3 linked regions of the Caenorhabditis elegans genome follow. The protein of the gene in region 1 binds, or shares a complex with, the protein of each later gene. Each region holds a gene or a part of one and is shown on either strand. Other genes may lie near its edges.

Region 1 (8,064 bases):
GATTTGAATACATATCAACGCATCCTCATCTGTAGCTGGATGCATTATTAGTGAGAGTAGAAGTCGGTCAGCACGCAGAACTTGGAACTGGAATACCAAGAGGGCAGCGGCTTTTGCTATCTGAAAACTTATTGTTTTAAGTCTGATTAAAATAATTCAAAAATTCGGACATTCTTAAAAGTCTTCTCGTTGCAATCTTGAGTTTTTGCATCAGCAATTATATAATCGACCAGATAGTTTCCCATTACAACAATTTCTTTTGGTGTCTTCTTTTCCATTACTCTGAAAATTTTTCAATTTAACCTCCAAGAACCTGTGTTTAAAACTCACTCATAAAACTCTGAAGTGATATTATACGTAGAATCAACCGAATTATATGCAAAATGAAATAAAACAGCCAGCATACAATGAGATGTCGCCGGATCTCTATCCTCGCCATATCTGATCACAAATTGATTTGGTGTTAATGATGTGTGCATTCGTGCCGTGTTACGGACATCTGATAGAATTTCCTCAGTGTTCACTGCGTTCGAGGTGTCCGAGGCTGCAAATAGGTATTATTACTAGGTTTCAGGATGTGTAGTTATTTCTATAAAAAAGTTGTCGATTTGTCAGAAAACCCCAAGTAATTTGATGTCTATAAATTTAAAAACATTTTATATTGCTATGGTGATATATTTTTCAAATAAAAGGAAAATTGCAAAATTTTTTGTTGGAAAAAAAATCAGATTTAAATAATTCTCGCCAATTAATTTTTTTAAATCAAAATCTACAATTTTTTGGAATAGCTATAAAATTTTTTATTTTTTATTTTTCCGATTTTTATTGATTTACTCTTAAAAATGAAACTTTTTTTTGAATTTTTTCGATTTATCGGTGCAAAAAATACAAAAAAATTTTGTTTTTGCAGTTCAAATTTAGAAAATGATGATATTTACTATTAGCAATAAAATTACCTTTAATTGCATCTAGTGCCCACTTTGGAAAGTATGATGTTGATTTTTCAGGCCATCCGAATCCATTAATAATAGTTGGAAACATAGTCTTCTCGATAGCAATGTCTTGTGCCGTAATCTTAACAGCTCTCAAGAAACTATAAATCGCCATTTTAAAAATCTCCGGATTAATCGCAAATGGATATTGATCGGGCACAGAGAACGTCTTCGGATAGGCCATATGTCTCATCATTGTATTATCCTTATAACTCGTTCCGAACATCTGAGTGTGTGCCGTAATACATCCGTGAAATCCTGCCCAGCACCATCTTCGCATTAGAAATTGCTCCATGAGACGGTAGATTTGATGGTTTTGTGGATTATTCGGAATGTGTTGAGTGAAGTATGATAGTGCATTCACTGTTGATGAATATTTTGAATAGGCATGTAGGTGGGGAAGTCGGTAGACGAGAAAATCGAATAGGAAGTAACATTGATCTTTTGCTTGGACGTTCTGAGAATATTATTATTTTTATTCATATGCCTGGAATTTTTTGACCAAATTAAAATTTAAAGTGTTCAAAAAATTTATAAAATTTATAAATAAAAGCAAAGTATGATTTTCGTATATGCATTTCATATGTATATCGAAATTTGCATTAAATTTTACTGTCAGGAATAAATTCTTCGACAATGCTAATTTTTTTCAATTATACATACTATAAGACTTTTTTTCAAAATCTAACCTGATGTTCACCAGATGATCTATCTGCAGCAGTTGCCACGTGAAGAGATCTTTGTGCTAAATGTTCCATATCCTTTACAGCCATCTCATAATCTTCTGATTCACAAATCTTCGCTACAGTTTCAAATACCGCAGGGCTTGGAAGACGAACTGTTGAAAATGAACGAAGTGGTTGGAAACATTGAATTAACAGAGTTTTCTTCGATCGGAACGTCAATGCTTCCATGAATTCTACTGGAAATGCTGAGAAACAGTTGACAGCCATTCTTTTGTAGGATAGTTCAAATAGCGATTTAGTGTCATCAATTGATTCGAGCATTTGTTGAAGTGTTGGAACGATCAGTTTTCCCATTTTTGTATCCGTTCGATCTAGAACTTTTTTGCGGGTTAGATTTGATTATTTTTTCTAGTAAATATTTTTTTTCTAGTATATATTTTATTATTCTTTCGGAAAAGATTTGAAGAAGCAACTTTTTAAAAACATTTTTCGGTGTTTTTCAGTTTGAAAACCGACCATTCTCGATTTTTCGGTGTTTATTGGAGAGAATTTTAAAATGAAATTTGTTCCGATTTTTTACCTGAAACAATGGAGAAAAAAAGGAAAATTCCTCTTTTTTATAGATTTTTTCAGAAAAAATTGGAAGGAACTTTTTATGGTTTTTTGTTGAATTTGCGATTTTTGCAATGCTTGAATAATAAAACAACCTACAAATATTCGACAGAACCGCCAACATTGCAGTGTTGCTTGAATCGAAATTATCAACACCGTCTTGAATAAACTTGATATGCGATTTAATTGTCTCATTGGCCGGTGGCATTTTGTCGGCGAACTGAAAGTTTCAGAATTCAAAAAAAAAACTGTAAAATCCCTAAAACAGTCTAAAATTTAGAAATACAAGACAAAAAAAAAGAAAAAAAAATGTTTGAAAGCCATAATTTTTAATTTAAAAGGAAAGTATTTCAAGTCGCTATGAAAAATTTTCAGTGCAATTTTTCACAACTTTTGGGATCCGTAAAATGGCTCCAAATGTAAATTTTTGCAGATTTTTAGGATGTTCAGGGGCCGGCAAACATTCAGAATCTTTTTTTAAAAAAATTTTCTAAATTTTCAAAAAAAAATGCTAGATTTTTGCCGGCCCCTGAACATAACATCATTTTTAAAAACTGCAAAAATTCATATTTGGAGCCATTTTACCGACCTCAAAAGTTGTGAAAAAATGTATTGAAAAATTTGAAAAGCTGCATCAATTTTTTGTAGTTTTTCTGGATTGCAGACTCTCTTTTTTAGAATTTTCCAACAAAAAAGACTACTACTGACATCTTTCTCCAAAATCATCCAAGTACCAGCTGCAGCAAGAAACCTTGCAAACAACGCGGGATGATCCGATGCACCCATCCAAACAACATCTCCATCAAACAGCTCATTGTACAGCTCAACAATTTCAGTCACCGCATCATCGAGTCGTGTTAAATTAGACAGAGAGCCGACAACTTGAAAAACGATCCACATAACTTCGTCGCGAGCCCGTGTGTACTTGCATCGTTTTATCAAATTTTTGAGAACATTGAAGAATGTTTTTGGGACTCTGAAAATGCTATTTTTCGGTTTTTTCTAAGGTCTCAATATCGAAAACATTAGCTTTTAGGGAACAAAAACTCAAAATTTCGATAGATTTTAGACTTAAAAAATAATTTTTCCAGATTTTCGAGAATATCTATTATCCAAAACTTCTCTTTTTGGATTTTTTAAAAGAAAAAGTTACAAGAAAAATTAAAGATTTTGGTTTTCAATTTTTCTAAATGTCGGAAATCTAAAGTTTTGTTTTTTGGTAAATTTTTTTTTAAAAACATTTCAAGAAAATCTTAAGTTTCGGTATTTTTTTTCGAAATTTTATTTAAGAAGTGAAAAATTGGATTTTTCTGGAATTTTCTAAGAATAATTGAAAAAAAGAAATATTTTGGTTTTTCGATTTTTTTTTGAAGGTCTAAAAGTCAAGAACATTCAGATTTTTGAAGAATTTTCAAAAGATTTTGTTTAAATTATAGCTTTTATCCTAAGAATTTTGATTTTGGATTTTTTTTTCCTTCAGAAATAAACCAAAAATTGAAACGCTTAGTTTTTAAATTAAATTATTAGCTCTACTTTCAAATTTCTGGCTTTTCAAGACAATTTTGAAATTCAAAACTTGTGTTTTTCAAATAGAATCTTTTTTTTTTCGATTTTCTCTTTGAAAAACCCAAAAATTTAGCTTTCCTGAATGTCGGAAATCGAAATGTTCGGATTTTTTAGAATTTTACTTTAAAAGTAAAAAATTGGATTTTTTTTCTGAATTTGCGAAAAATAATTGAAAAAAGGAATATTTTTGTTTTTCGGGTTTCGCAAAATCGAAAAATTTGAAATACACTAACAATAAATGTTGTGTAATCCCATAAATAACAATATTAACAATATTGTCCCATTGATATCGTGGAATTGGCTCAGTTTCCGGTAGAGATTCTGCTTCGGCCATTGATTCACATATCATTACAGATATCAACATTTCCCAATTTGTCTTTGTCTTCGTTTTGCTCGGAGGATGAAGCTGAAACTTAATTCGGGATAAGTTATTTAAAATATATATATTCTCAATTTCATACCGAGTCCTTTCCCAATGGCTGACGAAGAATCATGTAGAGGGTGTACAAGTATGTAGAAGTATGTTCAGGACGATATGGAAGTGTATGATGAGGTTGAACAATTGTATTACTGGCATTTAATCCATGTTCTTCCCAACACGATGTTAATGGATAGAATGATGGATGTAGTGGAATGGGGTAAACGAATCCACGGCCACACACGTGGGATAGGTCGGCAATTGGTCGGAAATGGACGGATAAGCTTGCCAGTTTCTCCGTTAGTCTCTGTAATATTTGGCATTTTAATTTAATCTTAAGAAATATAGGCTTGGTAAATGAATCGAGATGGGTCGATCCGTGACTCATCTCGAGCCGCTTTTTGCAAAAAAAATCCACAATTGCCGGAATTGAAATTTCCGGCAAATCAGCAGATTGCCGGAAAATCAGCAAATTGCCGAAATTTTTCGGCAAATTGTGGTTTTGTACATTCAGATAATTTTTCGTCGATGAAGGTGATTTTTCAGTCAATCAGCATACAAATCAGGGGTGTGTGGCAAACGATTTTTTCGGCAAATCGGCAAAGTGCCGGAATTGAAATTTCCGGCAAATCGTGAAACCGGCAAATTTCCGAATTTACCGGAAAAATACCAATTGTCGAAAATTTTTGGCAAATTGTGGTTTCGCACTAATTTTTTGGGAATTTCAGAATTGTACGCATCCTGTGAGTGTTTGAATGTTTTTTTCTACATCTTTTTTGAAAAGTAAGCAAATTCTATAAAAATATCTGAGGAAAAGGGAAAAACAGCCCAAAAAGTCACAGTTTTAAGTGTTTCAGTCTTATGAAAAAATCCCTCAAAACATTTGCGGAAAATTTAACATCCGGTAAACGGCAAATCGGTAAACCAGCAAATTGCCCGATTTGCCGAACGGTAATTGCCGCCCACCCTTGGTAAAAACTTCAAATAAAATGTTGAGAAACTGAAAATTTAGAAATCAGAAGAAATTTCCCGTCATTTTTTTATGGCTTAAATTAAGTTTTTTAAAACTTCTGTAGTATTCAATTTGGTTTACTTTCTGTAACTCAAAAACTAAATGCACAGAAATTAGAAACTTTGCGAGAATGGTCGAACTTTTTTTTGGTTTCCGCCAAAAAAAAATTCGACTTTTTGAATGTAGAGAGATCTTTTTTTTGTGTTTTTTTTGCCGAAAAAAAAAATTAACAAATCTAAATTTTTACATTGTCTTTATATTTTCAGCAATTTTTTTTAAAATTTTCCCCTCACCGGCAGCATAAGCGCCTGTTTCGGCATTCCTCTCATAATTTCTGATAATGTGATGAGTGGAGGCATCAAATTGGAGTCTCTATCCACAATATGCAGTATTACATTCTCAACAATGCGGATTTCGTTTACTTGCTCCGGAGATAGTGAATACGGTAGGCGACGGAGCTGTGATTCCAGAATATATCGGAGGATATTCCGAATTCCTTTGTAATCGATTTTTGGAATGCAATCATTGATGAATTTCCATTTTTCTTGGCATATTCTACTGCATAATCGGAAGTCCGAAGTCATTATGAGTCCTTCTGCGCACAGATTCGTTGAAATCGCACCTTTTTGATGAGCATATCGGAGAAGCTGATCTACGACACGTTCGTAGTTTGTTCTGGAATAAAACACTGTTAAAACCTCTGATTATATGCAAAAGAACTGTTAAAATTGTTTTTTTTTCGAATTTTTAAATTCTCACCCAACAAAAACTCGATCAGGAGAGTTCTTTTCCGCCACGTGATGAACCATTTTTATTAGCTCTTTCACTAAAGATTGTTTTTCTTTTTCTTCCATTTTACTCATCATATTATTGAATTGAATCCGTAAAATCGCCGTCTCGTCGCCAATATTCGACGTAAGAGGTCGAAAAAATTTTCTTGTGTGGTTTTCTTCCTAGAATATATTTTTATGAGTTATGTTTAATTTTTTAAGCGTTATTTTTGATTTAAAAAACTCACAACGAGACTTTTAATTTGACTCTTTATTCGATTGACTTCCTGAACAAATTGCGGAGAGCACGTGTCATCCATTTCAATTGTATCTTCTGCGGAACCAGGTTTATCCGTCATTTTGTTGCCTGAAAATGTAATAATTTTCAAAAGAAAAATGTTAAAATAATAAATTGAAACAAAATAGGTTGATAAAAATTAAAAACGCATTGTTTGAGAAAGATATTACTGCGCCTCTTCTCTCTCACGCGTGACAATAGAGCGCGCTTGGTGTGTGGTCTCTTCGTTCACGCATATTCTGCGGATTTGAACTCTACCAGAGTTCTGCGAAAAAACTACTACATATATAATACATTTCACACATTTAAATATCTTGACTTTTATTGTAGGTAAACTGACATTTGGACTGATTTGCCAAATTTCTGTTGAAAATCAGTTTCAAGAAGCTGAAATCTAGATTAATTTATTTTTTTCATATCTTCATAAAAAGTACAGTTTATTCTCATTTACATTCCTTTAAATGGCGTGTTAAAATAATGAATTAATGTTCGATTTGCACTACAAGATTTCCTTTCGCTCCCTTGTTGTTCATAATTTCCTCATGAGCCAGTCCTAATTGCTCGAGACGATACAATTTGTTTATAAGTGGACGAAACTCGGTTTCCTTCAAGAATGAGACAATGTTGATGCCAAAGTCCAAGAGCTCAGCCTCGGAAGACATTCCCAATGCTACACCGTAAACAGCTCCTTCTGTAACCATAAGTTGTCTTGCGTTGATCGTGGTCTCGGCGCGATTTCCAATTACTGCAACTCTACCACGTGGAGCCAGCAATCCGAGGTCCGTGTTCAGATTTGTGTGAGCAGCCATTTCGAAAATGTGGTTGAAGCCTCCTGGATAATCATTTTTCATTTTCGACACATATTGCTTATCCGAATGATTATAGACATTCCGTGCACCAAGACTCTTCACGAACCGGATCCCATCAGCAGATCCAGCAGTGCCAACAGCTTCAATGTTCCTCCAGGCAGCCAGCTGCATCAGTGCACTTCCCACTCCACCAGATGCTCCGTGTACAAGTATAACGTCGCCAGTCTGAGAAGAGAATTAGTTTTGGGAGGGAACAGCAGATGGTCGTATTTTAGACCGCCCCTTGTTTGAGATGGAACAGATGGTCAAGTTGGCTTTGTAAAGATTGATTTGTATTGATTTTGCCTCCTAATTTTGATACGTTTTTGCCAAAATTTTAATATTCTCTATGAACCATTTAATAATAAATAAAAGTCAAACCTTTGCACCAGCAAGATGAAACAATGCACGATAAGCGGTAAGATAAGGCACTCCGAGAGAAGCTCCTTCCTCAAACGAAACTCCTGAAATGAGATTTTAGCTATATCTTAGGTCTCGCCACGCGGGCAACTAGCTACAGTAACCCGTTGCGCAATGATTCTTTTACCTTCCGGCAACTCGAATGGTCGATTCACCGCAACATACTCTGCTGTACTGTCCGCTTCTGATCCATACCAGACTCGATCGCCGACTTTCACATTTTTAACGCTTTCTCCCACAAGTTCGACGAATCCGGCTCCATCTTTTCCTGGTACATATGGAAGATTTGGTAGTTTTCCATACTGACCAGCACGAATATATGTGTCAACTGGATTGACACCGGCAGCGTAATTCCGAACGAGAACCTGGTTTTTTTCAAGCCTGGGCATATCACTCTCGACGGCTTCTATGACATCAGGTGCTCCGAATCGTCGGACTACAG
Region 2 (5,192 bases), 8.3 Mb from region 1:
ACGGATTCTTCTCAACAATTTCTCCTGGAAATGTCATTGTGCTCATCGCAGCAAGTTCCTTTTGCTCGGGTTCGAGAGCTGAACGATCAACGGGTGTTGGTTCAGTGCTCCGGAGAATTGATTTGGTTTCAATAACTGAATCTTCTTCCTTGATTTCGACAGTGTCTGTTTGATGGAATGTTTTCACATTTTCAAGCTGTTGCGCAAATCGAACTCCCGATTTTTTCCGTTTGACGGTGGTTTTTGTTACGGTTTCCTAAAAATTGTGTGTTAAAATAATAGTGAATTGTTTCTATTTAGTATTTGAAATTACCTCAACAATTTCTTCGACCTTAATCACTTGGGTCTCTATCTTTTTGGATTTCAGTTGTTGGTCAGAATTATTGCTTTTCTCGATATTATCATCAGATGCATAATCATCAGAGTCGAGTTCTTCTACACTATTGTTAAGATTCTCTTCATCATCGTCTCCTTCCTCTTCATCTTCATCATACTCCTCATCGGAACTCTCTTCATCACAAGTGTCTAAGAAATCTAACAGCCGTTCCATTTCCTTCTGTGTTACTCCAGGTTGTGCCAGCAAACGTTCATTCATTCCAAATCTTAGTTTTTTATCAGTTGGATCTTGTTCAACTTCCTCAACTTCCTCTAATTTACCCAAATCCTGTAAATCTTCGTTTGAAACTTCAAAAGGTTTCGGAATTGGAGCTTCTTCCATCTCATCATTGTCTTGTTCCAGTTTCTCTAGTTCTTCCAAACGGTTCATCACATCGTTGTGATCTTGGTCACCATTCAATTTGTTCTTTTCTATTATCTTCTCGTTCTGTTCATCATTTTGAGACATCTTTTTGTTTTTGCGATTTTGATAAAACAGTTTTTCCATCTCTTCATCGTATTTCTCGACAATTTCGATAGGTCCTCCATCAATCGAAACAGATGAGAAATTATCTTGAGCAAACTTTATTTTGTCATCCAACATTCGAATTGAATCGAGACCTTCCTCACGCTGCCTTCTCATTTCAGAAACTCTCCGATCCAAGATCTTTTCAGCTGTATGAATGCTGCATTCTCCGTAATAGTTTGCACCCATTTCCATCGTAACTTGATTCGTGCGAACTACATGGGCACCGCAGAAATAACCGACTTCGCAAATTTTCGCCTAAAAATTAGAATAAGATTATATGAGAGAGAATGTAATTTACCAAAATAGGAGCTTCCAACTTTTTCGAATATTCCTTTGCTCGTTCCAGAACTTTTTCATAGTTATCAGCAATGATTCTTCGACATTCGGTCTCAACTTCGAGCCGAGCTTTAGCCTGAAAAATTAAATTCATACAGACTTAATTATTTTTATACTATTTTAGGGAAACAAACTCGGAATTTAAAAACGAATTATTTTTGTCTTGTCGTTCATAATCATGTAAAAGGATTTTTAATTTACCGCATTGCATTCTGCAACGTAGAGTTCGCTCATTTTTTCAGATAGGTCTTCTTCACTCGTCACAGTCATTTTCTGCAAATCTTAGAGAGGTAATTCGGAGCGGAAAATGGGAAAAAATGTTAAAAAGTAACAATTTCCGAAAGCGCAATTTAAAAAAGTACAAAAAAGTACAAACTTTTATGGAGACACTACTGATTTCTGGAATCTGTTAAATCTTAGAAATGAACTCTTTCAGAATTTCAAACTTCTTTTTTTATATGCGTAAAACTTATCGCATATATTTTATGCAATATTGAAAGTAAGTAGAGTTTTAACCATTAAAGTAACTGAAACCAGAGTTTTATCGTAAAAATGGTAAAATATTCGGGAGTGTTGGTTTCCCTGGAAATGAGTCACGTAGAGTGTGAGTCCGCAAACACCAGCTGTGAATTGCGTAGAATACATTTAATATCACGCTCAAATAGTTTTGAATTAATTTAATTTTTTAAAAACATTTTTTATTCTGTTTATTTAGTTGATTCATTCAAAATATGGACAATTTAGTGGATATTGATGAAGATGGAACACAAGAAAAGGTATTTCGATTGTTAAAATCCATCTAAAACATTTTAATTCAGCTTTCTGTGAATTCAACTCCCTATCAAACACAAGAATGCGTTCTTTATGGATCTATTTTCGCAAAAAATGTCCCAGTTAGTTTTTAAAGTAATTGGACTAAATTCTAATACAAAAGTTTCAACTTTAGGACTTGGAACGACGTTTAGCCGGCCTTTGTGATCCGGGATGTGAGGAATTCTTCGAGCATGAGATGTCATTCAGCCTACGATCTTCGGGTATAATGGATATCAAAACCGATATTAAGTAAGCTTTTTTGTTTATCTATTTAAATATTTGCATGTATTTGATTTTTGAAGATTGCGAAGAAGATTCCGAACAGAACATCGAATTCAAAATTATTGGCAATTAAAGTACATTGGAGGTCGGTTTTAACCTTATAATTCGTATTTTATAATTTTTTGTTTTATTTCAGTTCCGGAACCAGATCAAAAATGCCCAACTATTGTTCGAAAAGAAATCAGTTCACTTGTCCATTCTCAGGATATGATGACGTATGCGAAATCCTTGGGTCTCCGCATGGACTATGAATATATGACACAAGGAAAATTGTGGACAAAAGGAAATATAAAGATTCTGCACTCAATATTGACTAGTACTTCTCGCGCAGGAACATATGATTCAAATTCAATCAAATCTGTTTCTGATTCTGCGTTAGTGGAAATCAGTATCTCATTGCCCGAGTCTGCAGAATACATGCCGGTAGGTTTTTTAGTAATAATTTCGAATTTATTTTTTCAACTCATTTTAGGCTGCCAAGTCTCTTCGTGATTTTGCCGATCAGCTGATGCCACTTGTTAATATGGAAAAAGTCGATTACTGGAAGAAAATGTTCCCAGCTCAAGCAGCTCCTCGTCGTTAATCTTCATTAATTGATTGATCTCACTTTGATACGTTATTTAATTTATAAAATTCACGAAGTATTCAATAATGTTAATATCCCACAAAGCTTCAATGGTTTATACCTTTTATTTTCTGATATCAACATTAAACATTTTTTTACTCCAATGAAAATTTAGAATGTCATCGAAAAATCCAGTAGATGAGCAACCTTGCTGTGGCTCCCATGAAGGTTCGCATCAAGATCCTGCTCCGGAGACGTTAGTAGTTGAAAAAGAAGTTAACAATGGGGAAAAGAAAATACGAATTGCTGTTGTCGGATGCTCTCACGGAGAAATGGATGCTATTTATGAGGTAAAATTTAAAAAAAAATCATATTTTTCGAACAAAATTAATGGCATATTTCAGATCTATTTTCTCTATTAGATTGTTTTAATTGCTATTTAAAATTACAACTATTTAAAAAAAATATTTCAGACAATGACACTAATCGAACAGAAAAATGGCTACAAATTCGATTTGCTGATCTGTTGTGGCGATTATCAAGCTGTCCGAAACTACGGCGACCTTCCACATATGAGTATTCCACCAAAGTACAGAAGTCTTCAAACATTCTATAAATACTATTCTGGAGAACAAAAAGCACCAGTTCTAACTCTATTCATCGGCGGAAACCATGAAGCATCTGGTTATCTATGTGAATTGCCTAATGGAGGATGGGTGGCGCCGAATATTTATTACATGGGATTCGCAAATTGCATTCGATTTGCTAACCTTCGTATCGCAGGACTCTCTGGAATTTTCTCGCAAGGAGATTTTCAATTTTCGCATTACGAACGCCCTTCGTTTTCGGAAAGAGATGTTAAAAGCGCATATCACGTTCGAAACGTTGATATGTTCCGGTTAAGACAATTGAAATCTGATAATGAAAATAAGATATCGGTATAAGCTTGAAAATTACTTTTTTATGAACATTTTCCTATTTTAGAACCCAATTGACATAATGCTCTCACACGATTGGCCTGGAGGTATTCCTGATTTTGGTGATAAGGAATGGCTTTTCCGGAAAAAGGATTTATTTGAAGCAGATCACAATAGTGGCAAACTGGGGAATCCTTCTGGAATGAAACTGATTTATGTATGTTTTTTGGTGATATTTGCAAAATTACTGTATGTATGTATTTTAGGATTGCCGGCCCAGATACTATCTTGCTGCACATCTTCATATTGCTTTTGCGGCCCTTGTTCCTCATAAAGGTTCAGGATCAGGCCGTCCACAGCCTACACGATTCTTATCACTGGATAAACCGATTCCTGGGAGAAAGTTTATGCAGGCAAGTCGTCACGTTCACTTTTTAAACTTCAACATTCAATATTATACAATCGAATAAATTTTTTCATTTTTCAGGCTCTCGAGTTGAATGTTGCAGACGATGCTAAACTGGAACTGTCATATGATCCACAATGGTTGGCTATTCTGAGAAATACAGATTTATTAACAACTGGAACAAAAGAACAGCTGATACTTCCCGATATGGCATCAAATCGTCCATGTGTCTACGAAAGAAAAGATTTTCGACCAACAGCAGAGGAGTTAAAAGAAATCGAAAAACTCGGAGATTTAACAATCAGAACTGACAGTTTCCAACAAACTGCGCCTCCGTTAAAAGAGGTAAGTGTCATCTCAGAATTTCGTGGATCTCTTAAGGATAGTAATTAAAACAACTGTTTACAGATTACGGAATCATCCAAAAATGTGCCACCAAGCGCCTACTACCGTAATCCACAATCTGCCGAGTTTTGTCAGTGGCTTGGTATTCGGGATCTTAATCAGATGCTCGTTGAAAAAACATCTGAACACGTTGGAACTCCGTACTACATGATGACTCAAGACGATGCGAACGCTAAACCAAATCAAGATGACGTGGATTTTGGTGACGAAGATTTTGTAATCGACAGAGGGCACACCTCCGATGAGCCAGAAGCGAAAAAAAGTAGATTGGACGAAGATAAGTTTGAAGCAGTACCATCCGAATGATGTTGAATACTTTACAACGTAGTTTCTAATTGAAGACCACATTGCCAAATATTTATTTTTTTGACATCAAGATATTGCCGTTTGTTGTTGTATACTCTATGTTAACATCTCAAAAAAACTTTAAATTGCCAAAAAAATAAAGCACCTCTCATGTTCACGTTTTCTCACAAACAAATATAGACTATGAAAATGCAGGGAGACTCCCAAATAAAAAAAAGCGGAAGAAGCAAGTCGATGCATTTACAATGGATGCTCTTT
Region 3 (6,490 bases), on another chromosome or scaffold:
TCGAATCATGTCTTGGATTAGCACAAAACACCTGAAACGTATTAATGAATTTTAAATATTTGAAATCAAATTGAAACTCACTGATTGACAATTGCACATGCTCGCGGATGCAAAAGGAATCTTTGCCAGTGTTTCATAAAAAATGAGACAAAAATAAATGCCGTTTCTGTGTAATACATGTCTGGAAGAACATCCATTCGGAAATGAGCAATCTTGTCGTCAACTGCCTTCAAATACGGATTCACCATTTCAAAGAAGTCGAAAATTGACGTGATATCCATGCTGAACTCGTACATTTCGCAAATAATATTGGCCACTTCTGGAGCTGGAACATCGTCACAGTTCTTTTTCAAAAATCCACCAATCCCGTCGATGAAATTATAGACAATACGTTCCAAAATCAGATGTTGGTCATGATAGGTTTGTGCTCGGAATTGTCTCAAAAGATCGTCTAGGCGGTTCTGATTAATCTTTTTATGAGCGGTGGTGACTTTGGAAGATCGATCAAATTCAATGTATAACCGAGTTGTGAATTCCTTCGTAATGCTCTTGTAAATAGCACGAGCTCGTCGGAAATATACATTCGCAGCAGGTTTCAATCCGAACAGGAGCAGTCTTCGCAATCGATACTCGTCAGTATCCTCGTCAACATCTAATTGTGGCAAAATAATGATCATACGCTCCAACAAATCCATTTTCTTTCCCATGAACAATCTCTTCGGTGTGTATTCTGTGGTGAAATGTACGAGTTTGGTGTCATCTGGAGTTTCTGGTTTTCTATGTCGCTTGGAAATTTTCGGGATTTTTTGTTTTCGTTGTCTTTCCATCAAAGGAGCATTGTAATCCAAATCCGAATCTTTTTCCAGTTCTCTTAGAATATCAGTAATGGAAAATATCTTTTCTCTCATCATCTCAATCATGATAGCAACCGTGGAATCAAAGTGAGCTTGATACATTTTGCTTCCGTGTTTGGGACCTTCAGTGGACATAAACTTGAAGAAAAGATCCATGACCTGCCAACCTCCAATGGTGTTCTCTGGATTTTGATCCATTCCAAAGCGTAGAAGTTTCGCGATGTAAGTCGCACGGAATGATCCTTCACGCTCCTCCGTTATGCACCATTTAAACATGAGCATTGTTTTCAAGAGAGCTTCCTGCTTTTCAAATTTTTCTCGGAATGCAAAAAGTCGAAGTCCAGCGTTTGTAATGGCGTTTGGTTTCTCAACATCAATATTGTCCATTATTCCAATCACATCTACACAAGTATCAATGATTCTACCAAAGCTCTGCAGAAATGCAGCATTTGGTAGCCACCTGTCTTCGGCAGCCTGACTTCTTCGAACGATTTCACAATGGCGTAAACGAAGACAATCCACCACTTCTTCTACACCTGTAAAATTGAATATACACATGTTTTTGGCAATTGATAAAATATAACAAACCTTCCATGACTGGTAGTTTGTGGAGTTCACATGGCAAATAATCCAAAGGTGATCCGCACAGTTGTGGTAGGATTCTATGTCGACGTTCTTCTTGTTGAACCTGAAAATTTAAAGCATATTTGTGTTCTCTGAACATAGCTACAGCAAAAGCTTTCAAAACTTACTGAAAGATCGTTCCAAACAAAGCTTTCTGGAGTAACACATGCCATGTACTGCACCATGCTTGAGAGCAAATGAAGCGCTTCACTGAACTGACTGCATTGATCAAGTGTTCTCCATCCTGCGTGGCTAGTTTTCTCTTTCCATTTTTTGTCTGACACCATTTTCTCTTTGATATGGGAAGCCAAAGTTGCAATTTTCATTTCCTTCTCTTTGCGGATTTTGATTTCAGCGAGTTCCTCGTCGGTATAAATTTTCTCGGGTTCGTTATCCGCCACATCTGTATCCTTGTTTTTGTCCCTTTCTTCTTCGCCATCTTTTTTCTTCTCACTTTCCGGAGTTTGTTCCTGATCAGGATCCACCACAGCTATAACAACACAGTCATCCTCGTCTGCTTTTTTGTTGGACTCAATGATCATAATATCATCTTCGTGTTCTTTCTCAGACTTATCAACTTCAGGCGCTTTGTCGACTTCCAGTGGTTCCTCGGTGGTAATTTCAGTGGATTCTTTTGGTTTTTCAGTGGCAGCTGGTGGATCTGATTCCATGGGAACTGTGTCATCTTTAGAAGTTTCATCGTTACTTGTTGAACTTGCATTTGGCTCCTTATCAATTTTGTCATTAGAATCGACAATGGAGGGAGCTTCGGATTTCTCTGCTGATGTAGACGTCTTTGCCGTTTTTGAACTGGTATCATCTTCATTTTCTTTGCCGGTAGGTTCTTCTTCAACTAATTTTTGTTTTTCAGAAGCATCGGTTTTATCATTTGCATCAGCCATTTCAGCATCGTCAGGATTTATCGGAACATCCAGATCATTCGTATGCTCATCAACAGATTTTTCTTTTTCCTTGTCTTTCTCCTTATCTTTGTTCTTCTCCTTAGTTTTAGATTCATCTTCTTTCTTTTCACATTCATTTTCTTTATCGACAGAAAGAGCTGGCGAAGCGCTGGGAGATGATTCAAAATCAATTTGTGGCTGCGTGTTGACAGTTTCCGTTGGTGTTGGATTGGAGAAATCCAGTACTTCATCTTTTGGTGGATCAATTCCAACTCCGCCCTGCTGAATCCAGAAAGGATACGTCATTGAACCATAGCGACCACTAATACGTTCAGGAGTGACAGATCTCTTGCCTATCTTCATGTACTTGAACTCCTCATCGTCAGTGAGTTTTTTTGGAATATCTGTGTGAAGTGGCTTGAAAGGTAAAGGCTCATATGATGGATCATATTGATGTGAGAAAGAGTCATAATCCATAGAATTGTCTGATTGTTGACCTCCATACTCATCATAGTCCATCGGTTCTTGTTTAATCTGTACTTTATCGTGATCAAGAGAAGCTTCATTCGAAGGATTCTGTGGCATTTTTTTTGGCCGATTTTTTGACAATCCTCTTCTTCTCCTCCTTTCAGACTTTTTGAGTGAGCCTGCCTTTCGTTTTTCATGCTGCTTGATAAGTTCTTCAGCTTGTGCTTCTGGTGTTTTGTCAGTCTCATCAAAGTAGGGTACATCAGGAATCTCGTCCAACATATCAATGAAGTCATCGTAATCTTCAAACTCGTAAATTTCGCCATCTTCATTTTCAAATCTGAATTTTTGATTTTTTGTAACTCTCATAAATTTAAGTCTTACTCTTTCTTAATGAAAGTTTTATTAGCAGAATCGTAGTACGCATCAATTTTCCTTTTATCCTGTGCCATTTCGAATAGAAAACCAAGTGCTTGGCAAAGCAGAGTGGAGGACCGTCTAGCTAACACCAGACTGGAGCTGAGATCTTCGACAAAATACACATAATATTTCATGAATGTGCTGAAATGTTATTAATACAATATCAGTTCATGGGTTATCTAATTTGGAAAAGTTTGCAGTGCTTACCTTAAAACTGAAGGGTTCTTAAAGTTTTTCTGCAAAAACAACTGATTGAAAACTTCCGTGAGATCGTTGAGAAACTCCTGTTTATCAAGGACACCATCCTATAACAAAACTAATAAAATTTCTGTTAAAAATAAAACTCTTACATCAAACATATACTTCATGAATCCAGTCAAATAATTCCATGTTTTAGTAGCCTCTCTTCGTTTTATGGGATTTCGAAAAGATTTGTAAAGCTGGGTTACGAGCCAAATTGTTGTTTTGTTGCATGCTTGGCTCAGTTCTAGAGTTGCAACGTCAAGTAATGTTTTCTTTTGTGTCTTGCTTGAAGAGTTGAAACCAAGGATACAAAGAAGTTTCACACACCATATTGCCCGATCGTAGCTTATGCTGAAATAGGCAACTTTAGAACATTCTTCAGTTAGCACAGTATAATTCACATTTGTTTTAATTGTGAATTTTAAAAACAACTCACTTATAATCGCTAAACTCCAAAAAGAGCAGTTCTTTCCTTCTAAATCCAGGGATTCTTTGTGAAAGTTGTTGAAGAGGAGTTCCTCTAGCTAATGCCGAAAAGAATTTCACTCGATCTGACAAAATTCGTTTCCAGTTATGTGGTGCAAAACACGGAAGTTGTTCCTTTGGAATTTTACGTTCTCTGTCATAATTCATGTGGAACTCTCCTTTTTTGTGAATAACCTGAAATTAACATATTTACTCACTTATATAATTGTTGAAAATGACTCACAGAAGCAATCATAGACTGAGATCGTTTTTGAGCTTTCTCCAGACGAATTAGCTTATTTTCCGATGCGTTGAAAACCAATGATTGAAGCTCGTATTGCGTTAATGGCATCTAAAATCAAAACTCGGGTTGTATAATTCATATCCTCACGTGTGCTTTCTCTGTTTCTTTTTACGCTCATCAAACATCTAGCCACACACCAAGCTAATCATCCCCTAGTACCTCCATAGTTACATTGCACTCTGTTTGAGCATCTTTTTCCTCGCCCTGGCACGACACTCACCTGATATCCTTTCTTTAATCGTTCCGTTGTCAACATATCCTCTTCTTGATTCTTGTTTTGTTTATACACATCAGCAGTTCCCATTCGAAGGTTGGTTTTCCGGAGCATACGTTCGCCGGGCTGCTCGTCAAACCACGAGGCGACGCCATCCTCGGGGTAGACGTCGTCCTCGTCGTCTACCACTGACGTCGATGGGTACGAAATGATTGCTAAAATTTTTTTATTTGCAATAACTTCCCAAATTTTGAAGATAATATGTTAAGAAAAAGAAAAAATACAATCAGGCGACGTTTTTAAGTGATAACAACATAAAAACTGACAGAAAAATGAAAGGAGGAACGAATAAGAATTTAAAGGAAAGTGGGTTCTATTTATTTAGAAAATATTGTGAAAAAAATAAGTATTAAAAAGTTTTTTTTTTGGAATATCATCATTCATGTCTAGTTCACTTTTCCAACTCTAAAATTGTGTTCAAAATCCAATATTCAAAATTTTGTGGGTTCCCAATTAGTTAAAAAAACACAATGTGAGCTTTTAAAAAAAGTGAAAAATTAAACTCAACATGTGGACAGAGATGTATTCATAAAGCACCTTTCATCGATTGTAAAGAAACACATCAACCCCAGTACGGATGATGACATTCAAAGATGGCTGTAAAAAAGACGCAGAGAAGCGAGGAAGAAACGCACAAACGGCGAGTAGCAGGCAGTTGGAAAGAAATAGAGAATTGGCCCCTGAGAACACAGAACACAGCAAGAAATACACTGATGGAAGAGAGAGACGCAGAGATGGAGAGTGCTGCACAGCAAGGCACACAGACCCATCGATCGGAACTGTCTCGCTATTTTCTCAAAATGGTCCACTCATAAGTCGTTTGTTTAATTGCAGGGAAAATTGTATTGTTGTAAGAAATGGTAAATACGTTAAAACTTCAACTTTCAGAACGATAAGAAAGTAGACTTTTTTGGGAGTTGTGAATGAGCTAATATTCCAAGATGGTGAACCCAAAAAAAAAAAAGGAAATCAAGTAGTATGCATATCACCTACAGATCAGCATGAACTGATAATATTTGTTATTTGAATATGTGCAATTTTAATAACTTTAATGCGCGTTGTTTCAGAATATGGTTTCGGATGTTCAGGCAGTTTACTGATATTATACAAAAAACCAGCGAAGTTTTTTTGAAACTAAGCTAAAAACGACCTTACGCGCAAAAAATTCCAACATCTGGGTATTGTCTGCAGTTAGAATCACATTCTCGCAAATTTAAATTTATGAGAAAGGACAAATGATGAGAGAAAATGTCATATGTCAGATAAAATTATATGAAAACGGAAGAAAAAAACTCTAAGTTTCTTCATTTCAGAATGTCATAGGGCAAATCCCCCGATTGATGTTTCAATGTAATGCATATTTGAATATATATTTTAATTTTTTTTACAACTCCACAATATCGTTTTGAACTTTGAACAAAATATTGAAAATAAAAATTAGAATTGATTGAAATTGTTATAATTCTTCAAATCAGGATCGCGGAAAATTTTCAAAACGAAATAAATCACTAAAAAGTGTTTATTTAAATTCAGTAAATTCTAGTAATTAGGTCTTGTATTCCGCGTTTCTTTTATAATTTCAAAAATACAATTCAGCGATGTTATCACGCATCACAATTGTTTGAAAATTGTGTGTTTGTATATAAATAATTTATAATCAAAAACACGAAACAAAATAAAAATGATCAGGAATTGCTTGAAGACAATTGAGAAGTAGAAGAAAAATATGAGGAAATGAAAAAATGGAACACTGGTTCTTTAAAAATTTAAGACGATAAAGAAATAAAGTTGAAAAAGTAGTCAACAATACAATGAACAAAAATATCATGAAAGAGGTGGAAATTCAATTATGCAGAGAACAAATGACTGGCTCGAGAAGATTCGAAAAAGAGCATTTGTGCAGCTGGAGAAAGGTTAGTTATCGGTTCTCGTTGAT

Evidence for each region. The genes of interacting proteins can lie anywhere in the genome.
Region 2: sur-2 (region 1) and mdt-18 share a complex: the UniProt entries of both Caenorhabditis elegans proteins name them as parts of the mediator complex.
Region 3: sur-2 (region 1) and dpy-22 share a complex: the UniProt entries of both Caenorhabditis elegans proteins name them as parts of the mediator complex.

The regions. Positions count from the first base shown.
Region 1 is NC_003279.8:14,781,382-14,789,445, forward strand, and holds the start of sur-2 (Mediator of RNA polymerase II transcription subunit 23), read right to left. Parts: upstream 6,423-8,064; 5' UTR 6,416-6,422; coding exon 6,305-6,415; intron 6,240-6,304; coding exon 6,046-6,239; intron 5,962-6,045; coding exon 5,580-5,961; intron 4,582-5,579; coding exon 4,318-4,581; intron 4,263-4,317; coding exon 4,090-4,262; intron 3,267-4,089; coding exon 2,999-3,266; intron 2,511-2,998; coding exon 2,390-2,510; intron 2,056-2,389; coding exon 1,682-2,055; intron 1,450-1,681; coding exon 957-1,449; intron 545-956; coding exon 331-544; intron 283-330; coding exon 171-282; intron 121-170; coding exon 1-120. Other genes in the region: F39B2.3 (15-oxoprostaglandin 13-reductase), read right to left, coding at 6,837-7,388, 7,584-7,666, 7,750-8,064. UniProt on the Caenorhabditis elegans protein: Component of the Mediator complex, a coactivator involved in regulated gene transcription of nearly all RNA polymerase II-dependent genes.
Region 2 is NC_003279.8:6,490,611-6,495,802, reverse strand, and holds mdt-18 (Mediator of RNA polymerase II transcription subunit 18), read left to right. Parts: upstream 1-1,955; 5' UTR 1,956-1,971; coding exon 1,972-2,016; exon of another isoform or gene 2,017-2,058; coding exon 2,059-2,133; intron 2,134-2,186; coding exon 2,187-2,302; intron 2,303-2,355; coding exon 2,356-2,420; intron 2,421-2,471; coding exon 2,472-2,758; intron 2,759-2,807; coding exon 2,808-2,918; 3' UTR 2,919-2,981; downstream 2,982-5,192. Other genes in the region: uri-1 (Unconventional prefoldin RPB5 interactor), read right to left, coding at 1-256, 314-1,159, 1,203-1,316, 1,442-1,474; dbr-1 (Lariat debranching enzyme), read left to right, coding at 3,077-3,250, 3,374-3,838, 3,885-4,034, 4,084-4,230, 4,305-4,568, 4,632-4,934. UniProt on the Caenorhabditis elegans protein: Component of the Mediator complex, a coactivator involved in the regulated transcription of nearly all RNA polymerase II-dependent genes.
Region 3 is NC_003284.9:9,817,563-9,824,052, forward strand, and holds the start of dpy-22 (Mediator of RNA polymerase II transcription subunit 12), read right to left. Parts: upstream 4,712-6,490; 5' UTR 4,609-4,711; coding exon 4,501-4,608; intron 4,329-4,500; coding exon 4,221-4,328; intron 4,172-4,220; coding exon 3,948-4,171; intron 3,863-3,947; coding exon 3,619-3,862; intron 3,574-3,618; coding exon 3,476-3,573; intron 3,410-3,475; coding exon 3,233-3,409; intron 3,189-3,232; coding exon 1,607-3,188; intron 1,543-1,606; coding exon 1,443-1,542; intron 1,391-1,442; coding exon 82-1,390; intron 32-81; coding exon 1-31. Other genes in the region: GTPase-activating protein rrc-1, read right to left, coding at 6,402-6,490. UniProt on the Caenorhabditis elegans protein: Component of the Mediator complex, a coactivator involved in regulated gene transcription of nearly all RNA polymerase II-dependent genes.